2 linked regions of the Diceros bicornis minor genome follow. The protein of the gene in region 1 binds, or shares a complex with, the protein of each later gene. Links are inferred from orthologs where the notes say so. Each region holds a gene or a part of one and is shown on either strand. Other genes may lie near its edges.

The links.
Region 2: the proteins of CCND1 (region 1) and AMBRA1 are in contact, whole or in part, in a cryo-EM structure (PDB 9IVD), measured with the Homo sapiens proteins. The link is inferred for Diceros bicornis minor from reciprocal best matches to the Homo sapiens genes CCND1 and AMBRA1. Residues at the interface, in NP_444284.1 of Homo sapiens: Thr286, Pro287, Thr288, Asp289, Val290, Arg291, Val293, Asp294, Ile295; in NP_001354397.1 of Homo sapiens: Arg54, Ser55, Phe57, Val73, His75, Arg96, Thr97, Trp99, Leu116, Ala139, Arg184, Ile945, Asn1012, Asn1029.

Annotation. Positions count from the first base shown.
Region 1 is NC_080770.1:4,497,181-4,504,529, forward strand, and holds the start of CCND1 (G1/S-specific cyclin-D1), read right to left. Parts: upstream 3,044-7,349; 5' UTR 2,881-3,043; coding exon 2,683-2,880; intron 1,129-2,682; coding exon 913-1,128; intron 372-912; coding exon 212-371; intron 1-211. UniProt on the Homo sapiens protein: Regulatory component of the cyclin D1-CDK4 (DC) complex that phosphorylates and inhibits members of the retinoblastoma (RB) protein family including RB1 and regulates the cell-cycle during G(1)/S transition.
Region 2 is NC_080770.1:23,673,536-23,681,407, reverse strand, and holds the start of AMBRA1 (activating molecule in BECN1-regulated autophagy protein 1), read right to left. Parts: upstream 3,085-7,872; 5' UTR 2,895-3,084; intron 2,854-2,894; exon of another isoform or gene 2,677-2,853; intron 1-2,676. UniProt on the Homo sapiens protein: Substrate-recognition component of a DCX (DDB1-CUL4-X-box) E3 ubiquitin-protein ligase complex involved in cell cycle control and autophagy.

The DNA of each region.
Region 1 (7,349 bases):
CACTGCATGGTAGCCGCCCGCCCCCGGGGGGCAGCACCCCTCCATCCAGCACAAACCGCCCAAGCCCTCTGCTCAACAGAACAGAGACGGAGGAGCGCTTCCCAGGGCAGGCGGGGCCGGGGGAGCATCAGATGGGGAAACTGAGTCAGAGGGCAGGAAGCTCCGCCGGGGGACCCCCAGGGAGGCCGGGGCAGCAGGCCAGCCGCCCTACCTGTGGCGCAGAGGGCGACGAAGGTCTGCGCGTGCTTGCGGATGATCTGTTGGTTGTCCTCCGCCACCGGCATTTTGGAGAGGAAGTGCTCGATGAAATCGTGCGGGGTCATGGCTGCCAGGTTCCATTTCAGCTTGTTCACCAGGAGCAGCTCCATTTGCTGTGGAAACGGGGTGGACGAGCATAAAGAGGCGCGCAGGGCAGCCGCGGGGGCGGGGGGACAGGGGCCTGGAGAGAAGGGATGGGGGATGTCGGGCTCCAGGAAGAGGGGGACAACACGCGATCCCAGGTCAAAAAAGAGAAGGTGCCGCCGGCAAACGCTCCTGCTCACGGTTAAGCCGCCTGTTCCCAAGTGGACACAAAAAAGACCTCCCACACCCGGGACACGCCGCCCGGTCGTAAACGCGCTGCCGCCGCTAGAGGGCGCGCGCCGCCCACTTTTCGGGCGCGTCCGGGGCGCAGACGCGGTGGGAGTCCGAGCGAAAGTGCGAGGTGGGGCGGCGGGGACGGCGGCGGGGACGGGGGGCGCCGGGGGTCGCGCCGGCTCCTCGAGGCGGGGGCCCCCAAGCAGTGTGGCCGCCCGCCCTCGGGGCCCAGGGTCTGTCAGCAGCCGGCCGGGGCCCCCCACCTCTGCACCTCCCCCACCCCCGGGGTCCCGCGGCTACTGGGGCGTCGGTGGGCGGCGGGGGTCGCGGGGTTACCAGCAGCTCGTCGGGCCGGATGGAGTTGTCAGTGTAGATGCACAGCTTCTCGGCCGTCAGGGGGATGGTCTCCTTCATCTTGGAGGCCACGAACATGCAGGTAGCCCCCAGCAGCTGCAGGCGGCTCTTCTTCACGGGCTCCAGCGACAGGAAGCGGTCCAGGTAGTTCATGGCCAGCGGGAAGACCTCCTCCTCGCACTTCTGCTCCTCGCAGACCTGCCGGGGCACCGGGGCCGTGACCGCCGCCGCGCGCGCGCCGGGCCCCCTCCGCGGAGACCCCGCGCCCCCCACCCCGCGCGCGCCGGCCCGCGGGGCCCCGAGCGCGCCGAGGGTCGCGGCAGGGGGCCGCAGACGCTTCCGGGGACGCGCCCCCTCCCCCGGGTGTCCCCAATACCCACCCACCCTGAAACTGAAAGGGAAAGTCCCCGCGAGGCTGGCACGGCGGGGGCGGGAGCGGGCACGGCTGGGCGGCATGCGCCGCGCGCGGGCTGCCAGCCCCCGAGACCCCGGCCCGCGTGGGGGCTCCGGGGCCCGCCTGGCCGGGGGTCGGCACGAAACGGGGTGCGGGGCCGCGGGGCGGACCGCGGGGCCGGGCGCCGCGCTCGCTGCGCCTGCGAGACACAAAGGTGGCGTCCCAGGCCGCCGCGCCGCATTTCCCCAGACGTCATCTTTTCAAAAAATATTTAAAAATATAAAAAAATTATTTGAGTACATAAAAAACCCATGAAAATGACCCTCGGACGGCCCTTTACCCAGTCCGGGGGTCGGGAGCTCGTTGCAGGCTCGGGGGAGAGCCCCAGGAATTAAAACTCGGCCCCCCCCCCTCCCCTTGGGCGCGGGCGCCGCTTCCCTCTCGCAAGGGCACCACGCCGCACTTTCAAAAATTATTTTAAAATACTTGCGGGCGCCCCAGGCACCCACTGAAAGCCTGAAAATGTGACCCGGGCCCCCGGCTCGCTCCACACAGGTCCCCCAAGCTGAGACCCCTGCAGACAAGGGTCAGTCCCTAGCCTCCTGGGGGCCACGCGACCTTGCAGCCCGGCGTGCTCTCCGGCCCAGGCTGGCAGTGCGGGGCGCCCCGGGACTCGGTGCTTGAACAAAGGGGCCCCCCTTCCCGAGCGGGGTCCCCCCAAAACTGCCCGCGCTCTGTCCCCGCGCCCCTCCCGGCGGCCGCGCGGCCCCTCGCGGCGGCCCCAGCGCCTCGCCGGCCGCTCCCCGCCCCCACCCTGCCCCCAATTATTAATAAACACTTTTGCTTTGCAATAAAAGAACAAAGATGGCGCATAATACTGGCACGAGCGGCCCTTGCATACGTGTCCATGGGTATTAATTTAAAAATCAAATCTATGCCCCCTCCCCCTGGAGCTGGCGGCTCAGTGGCCGCGCGGCCGGGAGAGGAGGCACAGCCGGGCACGGGCGCAGGCGGGGGTGCGCGGTGGCGGCCCAGGAGGGGACCATAAGGGGCGCCCAGCCTGCTGGCCCGCACCCTCGAGTCAATTGGGGTGCCCCTGGCACGGGCTTTCCCCGAAGGCACCCCTCCCCGACCGCTCCCCGCCCCCCCCAGGAAAGAGTATTTCTAATTCCCCCACCCCCTCCTCGTGCAAAAAACACCCACAATATCTATGTATTTTGAAAATACGACTCCTAGCAACAGTCCCGCAAACTTCAAAGTTGGGGTGAGAGAGAAGGGAGGGAGACGAGTGGCAAAGAAATGTGGGTCTGAGCAACAAGTTGCAGGAAAGTCTCAAGAGAACCGCCGAAGCCCCGCACCTCCAGCATCCATGTGGCCACGATCTTCCGCATGGACGGCAGGATCTCCTTCTGCACACACTTGAAGTAGGACACCGAGGGCGCGCAGGTCTCCTCCGCCTTGAGCATGGCCCGCAGCACCCGGTCGTTGAGGAGGTTGGCATCGGGGTACGCCCGGCGGATGGTCTCCCCCTCGCAGCACAGGAGCTGGTGTGCCATGGCTGGGGCTCTGCTGGGTGGCCTGGGGCGGGCGGTGGGTCCCCGGGGCTCGGTCTGGGCTCGGCTCTCGCTCCTGCTGCCCCGCGCTCCCTCGAGCTCTTCTGCCCCTCGCCGGAGCGCGCGGACGCTGCTGCTCGCTGCTACTGCGCCGACAGCCCTCTGGAGGCTCCAGGACTTTGCAACTTCCAACAAAACTCCCCTGTAGTCCGTGTGACGTTACTGTTGTTAAGCAGAGATCAAAGCCGGGCAGAGAATGGGAGCGGGGGTGGGGGGGGCGGGGGCGGGCGCAGGGGGAGGGGGCGCGGGCGCCGAGCGCTGGGGAGCGGCGAGGGGCAGAGCCCAAAAGCCATCCCGGAGGCGCCGCGCCTGCCCCGCGGCGGAGTTGCCCCCGAAGCCCGGTTTTCATAGAAATGCAAATCGCCCCATGGCTGCCTTTCTCCCCGCTGGGGAAGAGGGGTGCAGGGGGGTCTGTCCTCCCCGAGTGGGTCCCCTGGGATTTTGAGGGTGGGGTGGAGGTGGCTCTGCAGAGAGGGACAACTAGGAGGGCGGGCAGGCCACACGCAGCCGGGGAGACCGCATGGAGGGGGGACTCTGGGGCTCGGCGACACCCTATATCCGAGCCGGGAGAATGGGCGCATTTCCGAGAACGCCACGAGGGCACCCACGGGCGAAGAGGCCGCCAAGGAATCTCAGCGTTTACATCTTCATTTTCATTAACACGTGTAAATTTCAGGAACCATTTAACGCTCAGGGACGTAGGGCAGAGCCCACACTCCCGGTGGAGGCTTCATTCCGGCGCACAGGGGGGTCGTTGCAAATGCCCAGGGGGTAACCCTAAACGTTAAAGGGATTTCAACCTAGCATGCGCTAGCGCAAAAAATAAAATAAAATAAATGCCCGAAAATTCCAGCAGCAGCCCAAGATGGTGGCCAGCATTTCCTTCATCCTGTCCTCCTCGCCGGGGGGATCTCCGGGCTGTCTTCCCACCTTAGGCAGTCCATCCTTGCGGGGGTCTCCAAATGCCCCCCCCACCACGTCCCGCCAATTTAACAGCTGGAAAAACACCACTGAATGGAAGGCTGCAAAACGGGTCTCTGTCTTGTCTCACTTTTTAATTAAAGAATAAATTAAATCGCTGGAACTATTAGTCGCCTCTCTGCCTGGGAGAAGACCACCGGAAGCGTCCTAATTGGTTTTGTTAGGGGTGTGGACACCTTATCACCTTTAGAATTTGCCCTGGGGCTGCATTCGTGAGCTTGAAGGGGATGGCAGGAGCTTGCAAAAAGTAGGACAATTATTAAGTTAAAGAAATGGGTGTGTTGATCTGATAATTTTAAACAAAATCTATATATGTTCGTGGTTTTATGAGAGGGTCCCCAATATTATCGCAACCTTCAGAGACATACAAAAGAATAAAGTGTTTTTTTAATCAAAGATTCTTCTTGGTGCATTTTTTTTAATAAAAAGACATTTTACCCAGTCTTAACATTTTTTTTTACAGTTTTTACACTACCTGCCCCAAATTAAGAAAACTGTTCATTTACTTCCCTCTGAATACAGTTTAGTGTCATCAAACCACCGGATCCCCTAACAGTAAAGACGCAAAGAAAACGGATAAAAAAGCCCCCTCCCCTTCACAAGGGCGCACGCAGCAAGATAAGACTCTCCGCCCTTTCGGGGCTGATTGTTCCTGCGCCCCCTCCCCCGCCGGGAATTAGGGTTACTAATATTCAGGGTCCGGGAGGGTAATTACCCCCGGCTCACGCCTCCGAAGTGGTGGGTGGCCCGAACAGGGAGCGCCCCCCGCCGTGTCCCCCTCCCCGGGCACCCACGCTCACGCCGGCCCGGGGGCACGGCGGAGCCTCGGAGCATCAGCCCGCGCACGAGGGCTGCCGACTGCTTTTTCATTCATAAAATCCCGACCGGGCGGCCGCCCCGATGATTTATGGGGCCGCGCGCTCTCGCCTGGCGACTCCCGTCCCGGGGGGCGTGGGGGCCCGAGCCTCGCGTGCGCCCCGGCCCTGCCCGAGGCGGGCGGGCGACAGCGAGGGGCAGCGGGGCATAAGGAGGCTCGCCCACTCCGGCAAAAGGGGCTCCAGGTCCAGGAGGGAGCTTCCCCCCAACCCGGGAGAAAGACAGAGGAAACTGGAATTAGCATGAGCCAATGGGGGCGCGGCGCTGTTACTAGGCGGACCGGGCAGATCTCGACGAGGAACTTCGTTGATTTCCCCGCTCAGGGACGGGCGCAAAAGTGCAAGCCCAGCCGGCGAGCGTGAAGAGCCGTCCAGGAACCCGCGGGGGAGGCGCTGGAATTTGGAGCCGGGCAGGGAGCTCCAGCCGCCCAGCCCCCACCCCGGGGAGCCCCGATCTGCGTGTCCCGGAGCCCCCGAGGGGGCCAACAGCCCCGGGCCCTGGAGGGCGATTGCTTCTAGGAGACAAAATAAAAATTTTGATTTTAATTTTTTTTTCCCAGAGAAAAGCAATTTTTAAAAAGTTTTCTGTTGCAGTTTTAATTTTTCACTGCCTTTAAAAACCCACCAAGAAGCGGGAACTGCGAATTCTGGGCTCTGCGCTTATTTCTTGGTGACCATTTGGAGACAAAAGGCTGGTGGCACAGTCGGGAGGGAAACCACTTTGATTGGAAAGAAAATCCAAAAGTAACTTAAATCACCTTCCCACTTTCCTCGCCCCCCGGCCCCCCACTGGGGCGACCACGGCCGGGGCGGATCGTCCACCCGGAGAGGGCGAATTCCGCGGCAGGCGCGTTTGCCACCGTCCCTGGCTGTGGGAATCTTCATTCAAGGCGGGGGAAGGGAGTGCGTTCATTCAGGAACCAGCGCGCCGCGGCGCCGACTCCGGGACGCACCGCGGCTGCGCGCTGCCCAGTGAGGGGCTTTGGGAAGGGGTTGCAGACCCCAGTGGAGACCTTCCACCAACGTTGACCTCTGACACCCGCCCTCTCCCCAGAGGACCGGGGCGGCGGGCGGGCGGGCGCAGCAAGGTGGGGTCACCTGCAGCCGCATACCTGGCGGCGACTTGAAAGGACTTGGCTCCGGCTCCGCGAGTTTTCCATTGTTAAGCCCTTAAGTAGCCCTGGAAAACGCTTCCGAATGTGGGCCGCGGGGTTCCGGGGCGCTTGGGCTCCCCTTCCCCCACGCTTCTCGCTTTGGGGGCACGCATGGCGGTCCACGTGCTGCGGTAGCTCCTGGGCTACGCGGTGCCGATCCCCCGCGCCCCAAAGCTGCGGGACGCGCTGGGGCGAACTCTGGCCCAGGCGCCCACCCGGGACAGTCACACGCTGGGAACGGGGGCAGCCGCACCTCCCACCGCCCCAAGCCACGGACGTGCGTTTCCGCCTCTGATCAGTTAATTTCAGGCACACACAGATTACCCCTCTTTCGCGTGCCCCCGTCCTGGGTCGGGCAGGCTGCGGGGCCGGGACACCCCTCCCCCACCTCTGAAGGCGGTGGGCGAGGTGTGTGCTGGAGTTAAAAACCAAACCCCAACGTGGGGGGGGGGGGGAGGCTGACTCCCAACGCCTCTGGGATCCCAAGGGAAAAGGTGCACACTTGGGGGCGAAAGAAGATTCTAACTCCTTGACCTCCGGCCCTCAAAACGCATCGCCTGGTGCCCGAAGCAATAGGAAACCCCAAAGTCTACTAGGAATTCCATGGCCTCTTGGCTCAGGCCCCTGGCCGAGTGTCGTGGAGTGGGCGCCCAGATTGAGAAAATAACCACCTCCAACCAAGGCAAAGAAATCGGACGGGAGGTGGGGGTAATGACCTAAGAGGCCTTGTCCCTCCCGCGTCTCCCGTGGCCAAGCAGGGCCGCGGCCTGCCCGAGGCGAGCAGACTCCCGCCCCGGACGAGGGCGCAGGGCGCTGCTGGGGAGACTCGCGGGGCCTCGGAAACCGGCGGCGGCGGCTCTCGGGAGCCGGACCTTCCCGGGGGCGGGCCCGCGCTAAGACCCTCGTCTCCGGCGGCGCCGCCGCCCCGCCCGGGAAGGGCTCGACGCCCCATCCCTCGCCTCCAGGACTTGTCACTCGCCCCCCCATCCCTGCCCTTTCCCGGGGACTGTCTGCGGGGAGGCCCCGCAACCTCGTGCCTTCCAGCCTGCTTCTTTGTGCCCTTGAAATGCCCCAAAACATTTCCATCCTTCGTCTTGGCCCTGGGGGTGGGTGGAGGGACGGTCGGGGGCTTTATTAGAGGGAATCTCCGAGTTCTGGGGCTCGGACACTTGCCAGGAGGGGAGGGGGAAAGGGATTTTTTTTTTCCAGGTGCGGAGAGAGGGGTTGCATACTTAACGCCCTGCACCCCTCTCCTTGGGTCCCTCGGCCTCGCGCCGTCGGGGCTGGTGGCAGGACACGGGTTTGGACCCACCGAGGAGTTCTGGGTGCGAGGGGTCTGAGGGGCCGATGGGCGGCGCTCCATCCCCAAGCCCCGCCCGGGTGCTTGTGCGGGGCTCAACCT
Region 2 (7,872 bases), about 19 Mb from region 1:
AGATTTCTGGGCTAGTTAGATGGTAAGCCTAGGACTTAAACCCAGGTCTCCTGATTCCTTAATCTGTTTTCTTCTTACCACATCACTTTGGCAGACTGCCACATACTACTGGGCACATAAATACATTCTGACAATAACTGATCACAAAATTTTTATCGGCAACTAATTTTAGCTTTGCGAAAAGGAAAAAAAAATACATCTATTTAACTTGGAGGGAGAAGGGGTTTGAAAATATAAAATATAAATTACCGCAAACCGCAGGACAGGTTGTACCATAGCACTTTTGTACAAACAGAAATTATGACAAGAAACAGAAAGTTCTCTCTGGGTTTATGAGGAACAATTGGAGAAAGAAACAAGAATGACTATGATTAAAGGAACTTAAGGGGTTTTTTTGGTAAACCAAACCACTGGGCAAAAAGATTTGTATTCCATTCCAAAATAAGTCTATCAAGGCTGAGACATATCTTAAAGAAAGAGACTTCAGTGTGTTAACAACAAAACTTTTTCTTCAATTCCTTTAAAGAGTGAGATAAACAGGAAGAGCGAGAAAAATTGTCAACATAAACTGCCAATATTCATGAAGATCCTTGAAGACCATAAATGTTTAGATCAGTATTAATAAGGAGCATGATCAAAAGAAAAAAAGTTTCATAAGTTTTCTAACATGTTAAAAATAGTTTGAAAATTATATGGTGTAAAATTAAGTTATTACCATGCTAATAAAAATAACCAACTGTTTTCAAGTGATATGCATAACTAATTTTTTTCAAGCGACATACATAACTCCTTCCAGGACAAGTTCTAGAAAACATTCAAACAAGTTCACATCTTTAATAATCCCCAAGAACTTTCTTACTAAAAGAGAAGATAGAATAATTCAGTCACATTCTGAACCTGCAAATTTCGGAAAGGAAATGCCAAATGAGAGCTTGATCTGACACTGACAGAACACAAGATTTAACCAAGAAAGGTAAAAGTTGAGTGAATTTCTATGACAAAGCAGGTGAGAAGCTGATAAGAAGCTGTATCCCTGTAACCTCCCCCCACTACAACCAAATTTCTTATCCTCTTCAATTCAACTTAAACCTCTGCTAATTATTTCCTACAGAAACATAAAATGTTCCTAACATTTCTTTGTGACACTCATAGCAAACTCCATTTCATTAGGAGCCACTGAGATACTAACTCTAAATTCTATGCAGAATCTATCCAACCCCAGGGGATAATGTGCTTCCTTCTCTAAAGTCTCTCCTCTGATATAAATTCTCTTCTATCATAAAAAATCTTTCAGAGAACACACATTCTCAGCCTAACTTCCCAATCTAGATTCTCCATAAAGATAGTCTGATGGCTCTTCATTAATCCCTTTCTGGAAGTACTGAGGTCCTGGTAACTAGGAAAAATCACTCATGATCAAGGGCCCTTCATTTAAATCTTGCTGAATTCACCAAAAGAAAAAAATTAGAGGAAAAATAATCTTTCCAAAACTCATATGAGAATTCTGAAATTATTAAAGGAACATAGATTTGTATAGTTTCCACCCAAGGACTAGGAATTTAGTCTGTTCTCCCTTAAAACCATTCTCCTACTGATTCTACATACCATGGAAATACTTATTCAACCTAGAATGACCTCTAGGCTGATTATTTTTTTCAACAGTTACACGAATTAGGATCGTGACACTAAATCCAATGAAAATAAAATGAGTAAGAACACTTAGTCCTCCAAGTTTCCAAGTTGGGAGAGAAAAGGAAAACATACTGGAGTTCCCAGAATATTAACTTTCAATTTAAATATCTCAATATTTGAATGATTCCTACACACAGCCTTTTTAACTCTAATACATGCAGTAACTAAGCCACTAATTAAATATGATAAATCTGTTCCAAAAAAGACTCCTTAGGTTTCCTTTGGATTCTTCCTAGAAAGCAAACTCTCTCAGGACAGATATCTGACTTCAAAATTTGACCATCCTCTGTTGGACATTAACTACTCAACAGCACAGTTGAAAGATTTTCACTGAAAAACAGGCTGAGGAGAAGGAAGCGAAGTATCAACCAGAACGCAAACTGGACAGCAAACTAAATTTTCTATCAACAAAGAAAAAGAAATTGTCATTGCTACTCTCGCTAAAATGATACAGACTTTAAAAAGCAAAACCGGCCACAAGATCACACAGTCTCTTTACTTCTGAAGTCTCCAGTGACAGAATCTATATTCCTAAGGAGGAGGGAACACAGATAATCAAAAGGCAAATCACTGCGTGCATAAACTGACTGGTAAAATGAAAAAAAAAAAAGTGAACGGGCAAATGACAAAAAAATGACTTACGGTGCAGTTAAAGATGTGCCGGGGATACGGGGCAAAGCCACGTCCCAGACCTCAGCCTCAGTTTCCCTACCCGAAAAAGGCGAGAACACGACACCTCGCTCAGAGGAGCCAGAGGGCCTTGTTCCACAAGCCTCCACCTACTCAAGGGTCCCTTCAAAGGCCGGACTCACAGGGGGTCCCCAATGCAATTGAGTCATGACACCCAGAGCCTTGAGGGCGGGGAGGGGGGAGAAGAAAGGGAGGAGGGTCAAAGCGCGCAAAGCTCTATCCGTTCCTGGAAAGCGATTTTCCCCACACTCTGGGGGTGCGACACCCACCCTAGACCCAACAACCCCTCCCTACCGAACCACACTGGGCGGCCCCAACATCTTTTCCTCTCTCCGGCTTCTCCCTCAGTTCTCCGCCGCCTCTCCGACCGCGCCCCCGAACCCAGCCGGGTGGCTCCTCCTCTGGCCGAGTCTTCGCGGCCGACCCGCCCGCCCACCCGCCGGCGCCAAGGTCTTCTCAACCCGGCGGCGGAAGGATGCCGGGCCCAGCCTCCCAGGCTCCTCCAGGCCTACCTGCAAGGCGGGCGGGGAGTCAGTTTGCTGCCCAGTGGGGGGACTGAGCCACAGAGAGGAAGAAGAGGCAGGAAGGTAGCAAGGGATCCGCTCCACCGACCAGCGGGAGAAAGCAGCCTGAGCGCGGGGCCTCGCGGAAAAGTCAGCCTTCGACCCGGCGCCGCCGCGCCTCAGGAGACATCAAGCAAGAAGACGGCGCAAAAGATCACCGAATACACGAACGCCCCAGACATCAATGGAGGAGCGCGCAGGCGATCGTTCAAGGAACTGCAGTCGAGCACCGAAAAACAGCTCCGCTCCGACTCAAGGTCCGGCTCCTGTCCAAGGCATAAACAAACAAACCCAGATCATAAGCCATGGAGTAAAGGAGTCTGTGCTTCTGGCATTTTCTGTGTCGGTTGCCGGCTGTTTTAGTTATTTAGAGAACCGGAGTTTTTATTGAGAGTGTTGAAGATTAAGTCATAGTACATAACACTTGTTATCTAACTATAGTTCAGCGACTACCTTAGGGGCTCCGGAAACTATCCCATTGAGCAAATTTGACTCAGTTTTCGCACAGTGAGTTAGTGTAGTGAGTGAGTTAGTGACTCAGTTTCTCACAGAATGGTGAAGCGAATAAAGGATATATATGTGATAGAGGCACAAAGAGAGAATCCAGACTGAGGAACAAAGTGAATAATCTCTATTTAAAGCTCCAATTTAGCTCCTGTAAGCATAGCATGGAGAAGCTGGGAAAATTCAGGGTTGTGTAGTCTGACCTTAAGGCAGGAAAAAAAGTAATATACGTACTGCTTTTCTCTTTTATTTTCTTCCAAAGGCCTAGAACCACAGGTGTGCTTACTAAATGAACAAAAGTCTCTTTGGGTTCAGAACCTGTCAAAGTGTGTTGACATTTTCTTCCTCACAATAGCCTCTTTCTGAAGTCTCTTAGTAGGCAACCTAATATGCTTAGCGCAAATATGGATTAATATGTGCATCCTAGGGACAATTCAATAAATCACATAGTCAGATCACTACAAATATGGATTACCAAGTGTGAGCAATAACACAGTTGACCGTACCTCCTCCTAAGGAGGGGGGAGACTTGCAGAGTAAAGATGTAAAAAGGAAACAAGATAGTCCCAGCCCTTAAAGAGCTTATAATCTAATCAAAGTGAAAGACGCCATCCTTACAACATTAGCTTTATTTACAATTTATTGTAATTATTTTTACTTGATTTTTTCTTTTTTTGGTGTGGAAGATTGGCCCTGAGCTAACATCTGTTGCCAATTCTCCACCTTATGTTTTTTTTTTTTTTTTTTTTTCGCTTGAGGAAGATTGTCCCTGAGCTGACATCTGTGCGAATCTTCCTCTATTTTGTTTGTGGGACAGACGTCACCACAGCATGGCTTGATGAGCAGTGTGTAGGTCCACAACCAGGATCTGAACCTGTGAACCCTGGGCCTCCGAAGCAGAGCAGGCGAACTTAACCACTGCACCACCAGGCTGACCCCAATTTATTGTAATTTTTAAAAAAATCTCCTCCTGGGGCCGGCCCCGTGGCTTAGCGGTTAAGTGCGCGCGCTCCGCTGCTGGCGGCCCGGGTTCGGATCCCGGGATCGCACCGACGCGCCGCTTCTCCGGCCACGCTGAGGCCGCGTCCCACATACAGCAACTAGAAGGATGTGCAGCTATGACAGACAGCTATCTACTGGGGCGTTGGGGGAAAAATAAATAAATAAAATCTTTAAAAAAAAAAAAAAATCTCCTCCTGTAAGTCCGTGAAAATACTGAAGGGACAACTCATATATATAATGGAAGATAAAACAGCATCCATAATATGAGGACAAAACACTGGGCTTTTGTTGTCTACCACTGTTTTAGGAGACTTTTAAAATCAGTAAACATTATAGCAACATTTACGAAAGTCTAAAACTAAAGAAAGAATTAATAATCTGCATCCAAAACACAAAGTTTTAATTTGTTCATGTTCCCATGCAGTCCTTGGAAATATCCTACATAATTTTTTAAAGTTTAAGCAGAGAGGGCCAGCGCCCTGGCGTAGCGGTTAAGTGCACGCCCTCCGCTACTGGCGGCCCGGGTTCAGATCCTGGGCGTGCACCGCCACACGGATTCTCCGGCCATGCTGAGGCCGCGTCCCACGTACAGCAACTAGAAGGATGTGCAGCTGTGACATACAACTATCTACTGGGGCTTTGGGGGAAAAACAAATAAATAAATTAAAGTTTAATTAAAGTTTAAGCAGAGATACAACACTGTTATTGTTTTGCATTATATTGTTTCCCTATTAAAGTCTTTAGTAGTTGTTATTTTTAACAATTGCACAATATTCCATTGAGAGGATATACTGACCATGAGCCCCATTGTTGAATTTGTATGTTGCTTCCAAACGTTTTCTGCATAATAGGTATTGATGATCTTGGAAAGAGGCAGTTATAACTTTATTATTTATTATTAAGACCTATTGCACATAAACAAAAAGAGTAAGGAAGCAAGGTATCGGTCTATTTCTCTGTCATGTAAAAGAAATCCAGAGATGTACAGCCTAGGGTAAGGTGTGGCCGTTCAGTGTTAGGGACCAGGCTTCTATCTTGTTGCATTGACATCTTCAATAAGTGGCTTTCATCTCAGGTCCAAGACAGCTGCTCTAGCTCTAGACGTCATGTCTACATTCCACCCAGCAGGAAGCTGAAAGAGGAAAGGCATGTCTCCTAGCCATAAGGACACATCTTGAAAATAGCACAGGACATTTCCACTTATATGCCGCTGGTCAGAATTTAGTCACACAGCCACACCTAACTGGGAGTTAGTCTTTATGCCGGGCAGCCATGTACCCGTAAAAGTCAGGGGCAAATGGAAAAGAGGACAATTAAATAAGCAGTCTCTGGCACATTCCTGGAGCCAGATGAGGAGTGCGCAAATAGACTTTCCTTTGCTGTCATCCCAGGGCTGAGTTTCTACTGCTAGAACACAGGCTTTAGAGAAGCTTCCTTCTTGGAGAGGCTTGTGGGGCATAACTTTGTAGAGTTACAGCCTCATTCAAATTTGACCCAGATAACGACATTATTTTGAAACCTTGATTTCAGTGAGAAAAACTAAAGAAACTAACTTCAAGGCACAAGAAGTTGTTGGTTTTTTAAATGCCGGAGGCTTTTATTTTGGGGAAAACACCTGAAGGTTATGCAAATATAAATCCAAAATCATCGTCTGAAAATGGAGATATTTGAGAAGCTTAGACTAGCCTGTGAAACCATGGAAAAGACGGCTCATTCTGCAGGCAGAGTTGCATCTCTACAGATAAATTTCTTCAGAGAACTCTTTCTTTTCTAGTGTGGATTTAGACTTCAGTGTGACCACAAACTACTGCTTGTTCTTATGGAGAAGTCTATCTGGACAGAAGAGTAGATCAACAGATCAGGAATTGAAACCCTCAAAGCTACAGGAATCTCCTCACACAGGAGGAAGACTTGAAAAAAAGAAACCAGGTGGGCAGAAGTAAACATAATCCTGGGATGTACCACTGATGCCTACATATTGGTATTAAGACTCAATAACTCATTATTATTTTGATTGTTGATTATTGTATTCTGATAAGATTCTCCTCTGGGAGCTATCCCCTTGGAGGTAAGATCACACTTCCCCTGAAGTAGGGTGACCAACTGTCCCAGTTTGCTGAAGACTAAGAGGTTTCCCAGGACACAGGACTTTCAGTGCTAAAACTGCGACAGCTCTGGGCAAACTGGGACAGTTGGTCACCCTAAGAATGGATCTAGCCACTGTCAATCACGTGAAAAAAATTTGGCAAGTCTAAACCAGGAAAAGAGGATTGGGACATGTTGACCTGGGAGAATTGCCTGGGATGAAGGGTGAAGAGAGGGGAAAGGAGAGAAGGGGAGAAGTCTGTTCCTTATCTTGGCTCTGGGAGCTGAGAAACATCTACCACACTCTGGGTGGTAGAAATCAGGCCTGAACCTAGGATGAGGTAACTCTGTAGCAGTACCATGAGTCGTCTTATTAGGAAGTCCAGGAAGAGGAGTCAGGCCTCAAGCAGCCAAAATGATGAGCCAGTAGCAGGTTTTGCTGTTGCAATTCTATTCTGTTCTTTTGTAGCCTGGTCTCATAGCTCTGTGGGGCTGTGGGGCATACACACTTTGGGCTGGCTGGGAAAGGTGGAAGCAGTCTAGTGATGTAGGAGAAGTCCAGGGAAGGGAGGAGATCCCAGAACAGCAAGTAAGCATTTACAGTAGAATGATAGAAGGCTCTTCCTTCTTTGGAATGATTGATATAGGATAAATTTCCAGTGGTGGGATTTATCACTGGATTGAAATGTATGAACATTTTAACAGTCTAGAATGACCAAGAAATCAGCCCTTCCATAAAGATAGGTGTATATGTAAGGATTAGAAAAGTCTCAACAGAATGATAGATCTTTAATGTTTGGCTGGGTAAACATGGAGATTCCTTTCAAACGGACTTTTTGAAATTTACTAACCTACGATTTCAAGGTCTACTTTTCGTGCTCCTGTTTAGCATCCAAAGATTTTCTCTCTCCCATTTGATTGTCACAAAGTGGGTCTTAGATTGTAGTCACAGAAAACAAAAAGCCTGTGAACTTGATGTTAGGGAACTGGGGTGTCCCCAGCCTCCAGCAAGTGTTTTCCCTTCCTTCCCTCATTGCCATCCTTACAACCAACACAGTCCTACTTAATTTGGAGTCCCTGACCTCTTATACCCACAATTTCATAAAATCTGGGTGGGATCTGGAGAGCACTATGGGTCCTAAGAATATGTGCATGCACAATTGTTAAGATCGCTTGATTCCTTTCTTTCTTGTCCTCCTCCGAACTTCCCTTCCATTGCCAGGGAAAGCGACTGGGGAGCCCAGTCTTTGAGTTGTTTTCAGTTTATTGTTTCAGGTAGGGATACAATCGTAGTATGTCTATTATCTGTCTAGCTTTTATTTTATCCCTTTCCCCA